Linked DNA regions of Ovis aries. The protein of the gene in region 2 purifies or fractionates together with the protein of the main gene of each other region. This does not show direct contact. Links are inferred from orthologs where the notes say so. Each region holds a gene or a part of one and is shown on either strand. Other genes may lie near its edges.

Region 1 (4,372 bases), on a different chromosome or scaffold from region 2:
TAAGTGAATTAATACGTAACTTTGAACACTAAAGGGAACCTTAAAATATTTGAACTTAAGACTTAACCTAACACCATATATCCATGCTACTTCAAAATAAAAATGTGGTTTACCACACTACCATTTAAATAGTCATATGCTTTGCATTTTCGAAATACTAACAGCAAGAACACAGAGAACAACCTTCCCCCAAATAAGTATCCAAAGGAATAAAGAAGCACAAATGTCTGCGTTCCTATCAAACAGTCCTTTGTACCAAAAAGCACATAAGAAACACGTTCCATACTTCCATTTCAAATGTGCCTAGCTAGTTCACTTTCTTCTTATATGCTTTCAAATGCATAGATTTAACTAATTCTCTAAGTGGAGTAAAATTTCTTTTTGCTGTCTTTAAAGGAAAAAAAAAAAGTAGTTTAAAACTAGCTCCACCTCTTAAAGAATATATATAGTTGTTCATGGTACTATTCTTTCAATTTTTATGTATATAAAATAGGAGGAAAAAAAAAACCAAACAACTGGAAATTTGGAATAAACCCCTGCCCTCCAAAAGTCCCCTCTTTCAATTTACATGACATCTTTTCTTTCATAAAACAGACTCCATTAGTTTACTTCACCTTCAATCAGTCAACACTATTTACTGAGTCTAGGCACTGAATTAGGTACTCTGGAAAGCTACAAAGGAAGTACAAGACCTAGTAACTACCTTCAAAGAGTTTAAATAACATCCCCAGAAAGGAAGGAAAATGTAGTTACCGAAACAATATCCCTGCTGAGAGTCTTACACTCAAAGGTGGAACTACAGGACCTGCACTTTCAGGCCAGGTTTTGTACAGTAAATAATGCAAGAAATACAGTATCTAGCTAACTAACCCGACTCCAAAAGTGCTCAGATCTGGTATTTATGGATCATATATGCTGCTGCACACTTCTACAAGCATGACAAAGGAACACTGCTCCTGTGAGTGACAGAATCCACGTGTCCTTAATACATGTCAAGAAAGAGGTACTCCTAGAAAGGGCCACTTTCCCTAATAACATCCTGTTTCTGCCACAAACTACTCACCAAATGTTTGGTCTTCAACATTACGATCCTAGTTTGAGAGAACAGCATGTATTTTATATCCTCAAAGGCAAACAGAAAATTTCAAGAAGCGTGACACAGTTGAGAATCTTAGCCGTACTGACTAGAGACGTAGGTGAAGGATCAAGAACAAGGGATTCTTTTTCTAATTTCCAAATTGTAGATAAGTCATCGAAGGCTCCACATTTCTGGTGGCTCTAGAAATTTCCTTTCTCTCTGTCCCCTGAGCATGTATATCTTTTCCTCTTGTGAATTACTCTGTATGGACTACCAGAGCAAATATCAGGTGGGATAAGGGGGGAAAAAACTGCCAAGACTAGCCTGTTTCTACAAACCAATGGTCTTCCTGTGACCATGAACATCTTAGGCAATTCTGATAACAATTTTCCAAATAAAACTGTATCAAGCAATGGTTTCATTCTATGCCAACTTTGGGGCCTTTGTTTAAACGTTGGAAAAAGTGTCCCTACCAGATTTGCTCCCAAACTTTGATAACTGTCAAAACTGCACTTAACGTCTGCAGCATTAAATCTAGAGAGTTCTGTGTTACTAAACTGAATGGCATCAAAGAACATCAAAACAAGACGGCATTAAGAGGTACAGTCAGACAGGCAAAAAGATCAGAAAGCAAAGACCTCACAGCCCAGCTTCAAACGCTGCCTCAACTTCTCAAGCTTCGGGACCACTTGGGATTTATTACAAATTGACCAAAAGACGTGAAGGAAAAAAAAAAAAAGCATATATTAGTTTCAGCAGCTGATAAATAACAGGAATTTTTGAATTACAGAAGAATAGGGTAAAGACAGTAAATCTGGCTGCAGACTACAATACACATCAGAACAGAACCCGAGCTGTCTAAACATTACCTACTGCCAATAAACAGCAGGGCATTCTTTACCAGCTGAAGTACGCCAACCATCTTTCACGTTTTAAAGAGCTGCTACAAATTACCCAAATCGAAAAGGGGAGCAAAATCCTACACAGGTCTTCACCGAGGAGCCACCGCGCTTAGAGCATCACACAAAAGACCGGAGCAAACACAGACCCGCTTGGGCCTCGGCCGACGGCGGCCAGGAGCCGGGGTGGGCGTCCCAGACCCCCGCCGGGAGCGAGGGAGGGCTGGGGGTGGGGTCCCCTCCCCGGAGCGCGCCGGGGAGCGGGCGGCCGCGCAGAGGAAGCGAGAGGCGCGGCCGCGGCGTCAGCGGCTGCCCAGGCCGCCCGGCGTCCGCGGCGGCCAGGCCTGCGCGCCCGGCGCCCGGCGCCTCACCTCTCGCACGTCCTGCAGGCACTCCAGCACAGCCAGGTTGTTGCTCCAGGTGTGCTTGGGACACACACGGCTCACGTCCTCCCGGCAGGATTCTTCCTCCGCCAGCTTCCAGCCCCCGCCAGCCCCGCCGGGCCCTGCTCCGCCCCGCCGGACCGGAGACCCGCCCGCGGGGAACGGCGGCTGCTGCTGCTGAGGCTGCTGCTGCTGAGGCTGCTGCTGCTGCGGCTGCTGCTGCAACTGAGATGACTGAGGCAGCAGGAGCTGACCCGGCAGCACGCCGCCTCCCGGCTGCGCTCCGAGGGGAAGAAGGTTGCTCCCCGGGCCCGGGCCCTGCCCGTGGCCGCCCGGGCCCTGGATTTTCTGCGCGCCGTCCGCCGCGAGCAGCAGCAGCGGCAGCGCCGCCGCCAAGCGGAACATCCTCAGTACACGTCCACACGCCGCCATCTTGAGTCCGCGGCGAGCTCGACGTGCCCGCCGGCGCCGCGTATTTAAATGAGGGGGCGGGGCGGGGCGGGGCCGGCTGGGTCCCTCGAACCCCTCCCGCCGCGCGGACCCGCCGCTGGGCGCCGAGCGCGCACGCCGCCGGGCTCTGAGGGCCGGCGCCCCGGACCTCGGCCGGCGAGAGGGCGACGCTGGGCGTCTCTGGCGCACCTTCAGATCCCTGGGGAGGACCGCCTTGCCTAATTTCTTTGGTTGTCCGTCACCAAAAGAAAAAAAAAGGATTGGGATTGCCACAACCAAGATGGCCGGTAGACTGTGTCACCCGTTCTGTGACTTGAAAGAAAAAACTTTATGCGTAGAGGTGAGCCTTACACGATAAGGTGTATTCCGATATCCAGGAACCTCTTCTTGCACTTCTCCCTTCCTTCCATCTGCCTCAGAAGCTTCTCTTACCCAGAGAGGAAGGCAGCGCTGAATCAGGGTTAGGAGCACTGGTTCCAGAAGAAAGAGCCCGTTATTCTAGCTCTTGGCAGACTAGACAAATCTTTTAATTTCTCTGAGCCTCCTCGTCTGAGAAGGCAGAGGAGGAGCTCTAATGTGAAGTATAATTGTGAAGATTAGAAATAAAGTGGCTGGCCCACAATATGGGATTCAAAAAGTTATAACCAATATTATGAATAAACCGGGAAACCCTTTGTATCTGAGCCAGATTTTAAACCCACATTTCGAGGAGGAAGTAGCAAAACATGCTGAGGCCTCAGGTTGGTTGTGCCTCGGTAATTGGCTTGTTGTCCTGCATGCAGCATCTTTAGCAGCACTATAGGTGGGAATGGTGGTTTCACTTCTCACTAGTCCCCCCTCCTCCACAGGAGAGAGATACCTTCCCAAAGCATCTTCACATCTATTGTGTCATTTGAGCTATGCATCAGGCCTGAGTTGGGTTCTCACTCAGCTGAAGAACGGCAGAGATGGTAACAGTTCTGCACAGCAGGGTTAAATGTCCTGCCCAGGATGAACTTTGCCAGCCTGGAACCAGAACCCCTGGCCTCTCACTTGGTGCGGTGCACTTTTATCCCACCCTGCCGGTATACCGTGGTGGGGAATCAGGGCAGCTTGGGACATGTGATCCCCACGGGTCATCCATGTTCACAAATGCAGCTTCTGCTGTCCTGACCCACAAATGGGCAGTGAAGACCGACAAGACATAACTAGAACCTGAGAAATTGGGTGGGGGTTCATGGACTCCATAAGGAACTGCTGAAAATAAGAATATTCTGGGGGTACCAACTGCTCACTGTGGCTGACACAGGCCTCTGTTTTTAGAAATGAGGGCATGTTCCTGACATTTCTGCCAAAACTTCCTCAAGCTACTGCCATAATGTGGTCCTGAGCGTTAGTCACTCAGTTGTGTCTAACTCTTTGTGATTCCATGGACTCTCCATGAAATTCTCCAGGCAAGAATATTGGAGTGGGTTGCCATTCCCTTCTCCAGGGGATCTTCTTGACCCAGGGATTGAACCCAGGTCTTCTGCATCACAGACAGATTCTTTACCATCTGAGCTACGAGGGAAGCCCCATGTGGT
Region 2 (3,585 bases):
TGTTGCTAAGACATCTATTCCAGGTTTAGCACCTCAATTTTAAGTCAGAAAAATTCCTGTACAAATAATGTTATTGTCATATTAGTCAGGAGAAACATTAACAACTTAATTTTTTAATGTGTGGTTGACTATATATATTTTTTTAAATTTTATTTTATATTGGACGATAGTTGATGGGGTCACACAGAGTCGGACACGACTGAAGTGACTTAGCAGTCAGCAGCATAGTTGATTTACAATGTTGTTTTCCAGTGTACAACAAAGTGATTCAGCTGTACATATACAAATATCTCTTCTTTTTCAAAACCTTTTCCCATTTAGGTTGTTATAGAATGTTGAGCAGAGTTCCCTGTGCCATTCAGTAGGTCCTTGTTTGTTATCCTTTTTAAATACAGGAGTGTGTACATGTCGATCCCAAACTCCCAATTCAGTCCTCCTCTCCTACTAACTATTTTTGAAATTAAAATTCAGAACAAGACAGGGAAAGAGACACAGATGTGTATAGCGGACTTTTGGACTCAGAGGGAGAGGGAGAGGGTGGGATGATTTGGGAGAATGACATTCTAACATGTATACTATCATGTGAATAGAATCGCCAGTCTATGTCTGACGCAGGATGCAGCATGCTTGGGGCTGGTGCATGGGGATGACCCAGAGAGATGTTATGGGGAGGGATGTGGGAGGGGGGTTCATGTTTGGGAACGCATGTAAGAATTAAAGATTTTAAAATTTAAAAATAAAAACTAAAAAAAAAAAATAAAATTCAGAACAATATTAGCAGAAAAAAATGTTAATTGCTCTGAGAAGTCATATATATTTGTTTCAAGATATGCTAAAAAATCAGCCAAATAAATCATTTTCATAATGAAAACACATGCATATGATATTTTAATTTAAAAAATAACCATCTAGTGAAAGGAAACTTTAGAAGGTTACATAAGCTAAGATGGTCTAAACTATAAAACATAAAAGTTGGGGAAAAAAATCCATTACCAGTTATTAAGGTTTTAAAGATGACTTGCTCTCATATAAGTTATACCCTCCCTATGTTTGCCTCAGGAAGTAAATATTAAGTACATAAGAGAAGCTCGAATTTGAATGTCTTATGTAAAGAAAAACAATGCACGTGGTGTCTCATGTTAACATTTAATGATAAAATATAAATACTATTAAATGTACTTCTAAAATGACAAAACAATGAATTACCACAGACAACACTAGCCAAGCCAAGAGAGTGTTGATATGTCATGAAAGATGAAGTGGAAACTCCAGGCTGCTAATTTATCACTCAATATACAATGCTTCCTTTCTATCAGATTTCCCTGCTTGTCAATCAAGTTGATGATATAAATACTTAGTGTTCTAAATAATTTATGATTGTAATACCTTTACTGACATTCCATACTAAAGACAAATTTCCCAAAGGAAAACACAGTCATATATGAAATAAACCCTTAAAAATGAGGATCGAAATCCAATCCATTATTTCTATTTACCATCTGACTCTGAAGTGGCTCGGATGATCAAATAACTGCTAGGTAAGGGCTGAGTTATTGATCCAACTGCTTCACCTTTTGGACCCTTAAAAAGCAAAATAACAATTAAATGGTGTATAGTATTATGAGATTTCAACTTTATATTATGCATTATATCTGTAATAAACTAAGTAAGGCATAGATTATAATTTTTAAAAGCAAGCAAGCGTTAATTTCATGCTTCTTGAGAGCAAATGCCAAGCAGTCAGGAAAGCTTTCCTCTTCCACCAAACTTAACTTCCTTACCAGAAAACTGAATTTATAGTTAACACTTAATATTATCTCTGCAGATGGTTTACATATTTTTAAAAAGCCTAAAATTTAACATACTAGACCAAATTTTAATTTAATGGAGAATTTCCACACTACAAAAACTACTAGCTAAGAAATACTAAATTTCTGGAAGCCTAAAGAAACAGCTGGAAATATAAGAAAGAGAGAAATGAACTTTTACTAGGTCTGGGGAAAAATAATTTTTTAAGTTGTCAAAGAATAAAACGGATTTTAAGAAGCATACACCTCAGGAAGTAAGGAGGAACATTCAAAATGAAAAAAGTAGAAACAAATCAATATGATTTCAACAAATCCTACAGTATCCCCTGGGTGTTTTCAAATGGCTTTATAATTTACAGTTCAGTTCCTAGAACACTATAGGGTAAGCCCATGAGTCAAATTGCCTGGGTTTCAATCTTGTATGACTCCATACTAGAAAAACTACTTAAGTAACTTCTTTAGGCCTCAATCTCTTTATCTGGGTAATAGGAGAAATTTGTATCCTCCTTACAGGTAGGAGAATTTAAAAAAAGATTCCATATAGTATGCTGAAAAGAGTCCCTGACACAAAGCAGAAATTTACAAACATTATTCTGTTCCTATTCATAGGAGTGACCACAGTCATGCTTTTTAGTTATAAAAGCATTAGAGCTCCATCTTCCAAGAAAGCTGCCTCTCAAGAGTAAATAAGACCCCTTCTGCTTACAGGCTTCCAGTCACAAGTTTACATCCCTGCAGGAAAGACCACCAAAAGAAAAGGCAGCTTCTGTTCTAGGGAGTCTGACAAATTGATCAAGAGAAAAACAGTCACAGCAAACCAGATACACTATTACAAAGCAAAGCTAGTAATTGCAAACTAAAAGAATAGTAGAAACAATCCCCACAGACAAGAGAGAATAGGGTACAACATAAATTTGAGAAACATTTTCTGGAGAAATTTTTAAGTTTGATCTTAATTAAAATAAAATAAAATAAAATAAAAATGAAGTTAAAAAAAAAAGTTTGATCTTAGAGGTAAAATAAACTAAGCACTACGGTGCACATTTCACTGTGGGCAGAGACAGGAGGAGGAACAACGGGGCTGCGGACAGAAAGAAAGCTCTGGCAGAGGACAGCAACCGCTCGCCAGCCACTCACTGACGTGGCTCAGCTCTACTCACAGACTGTCACCCTTACTTTTCGCCTGTGTAACAAGTGCTTACTTACCTTCACTGCCCAAATAGACTGCTCCAGAGGATGGAAAAGTTTAAAACAGAAGCCATCCTTTTTTGATGGACGTTCAATGATCTCACAGGCATTCAGAAGGACTGTTCCTACCCACTGACCGTTTTTCTGGGTTTTATAGATCAGCAACACACCGGGTTTCAACACACACCACAATTTAGTCCAGCTCTTTAGGGTACCACGAATCTACAAAAAGATAAGTTTATTTTAAGAAATAAAGGTCTGTTTTTTTGCTTCACAAGGTACTAAATGAATAGAGGCAAATAGGGTGTTTTACTCTAAAATTTTCAAACAATGTACATTTTAAATTCACTAGATGTATATTCGTTAAGCTACTAATTAGCCAGCACTACAAATAAATGTGAAAACAGCACGGCTGCTACTTCCAAGGAACTTAAATTCTAGTGGGAGACTGCATCACATCAACATTTTCAAAAGAATCCTGTTTCCTGGCCAGGTCAGGGGCCATTAAAACATACTTTCCTAGTACCGAGATCTGGAGCTTAAAGATTAGTAAGTAGAGCCAATGTAAGTCCACAGGTGTTTTCAGAAT

The links. The genes of interacting proteins can lie anywhere in the genome.
Region 1: the proteins of OSBPL8 (region 2) and GLG1 purify together in Homo sapiens (co-immunoprecipitation; 3 studies listed by BioGRID and IntAct, with this or other methods). This does not show direct contact. The link is inferred for Ovis aries from reciprocal best matches to the Homo sapiens genes OSBPL8 and GLG1.

What each region holds. Positions count from the first base shown.
Region 1 is NC_056067.1:1,542,993-1,547,364, forward strand, and holds the start of GLG1 (Golgi apparatus protein 1), read right to left. Parts: upstream 2,813-4,372; 5' UTR 2,793-2,812; coding exon 2,349-2,792; exon of another isoform or gene 2,252-2,348; intron 1-2,251. UniProt on the Homo sapiens protein: Binds fibroblast growth factor and E-selectin (cell-adhesion lectin on endothelial cells mediating the binding of neutrophils).
Region 2 is NC_056056.1:112,358,236-112,361,820, forward strand, and holds part of OSBPL8 (oxysterol-binding protein-related protein 8), read right to left. Parts: intron 3,219-3,585; coding exon 3,015-3,218; intron 1,582-3,014; coding exon 1,497-1,581; intron 1-1,496. UniProt on the Homo sapiens protein: Lipid transporter involved in lipid countertransport between the endoplasmic reticulum and the plasma membrane: specifically exchanges phosphatidylserine with phosphatidylinositol 4-phosphate (PI4P), delivering phosphatidylserine to the plasma membrane in exchange for PI4P, which is degraded by the SAC1/SACM1L phosphatase in the endoplasmic reticulum.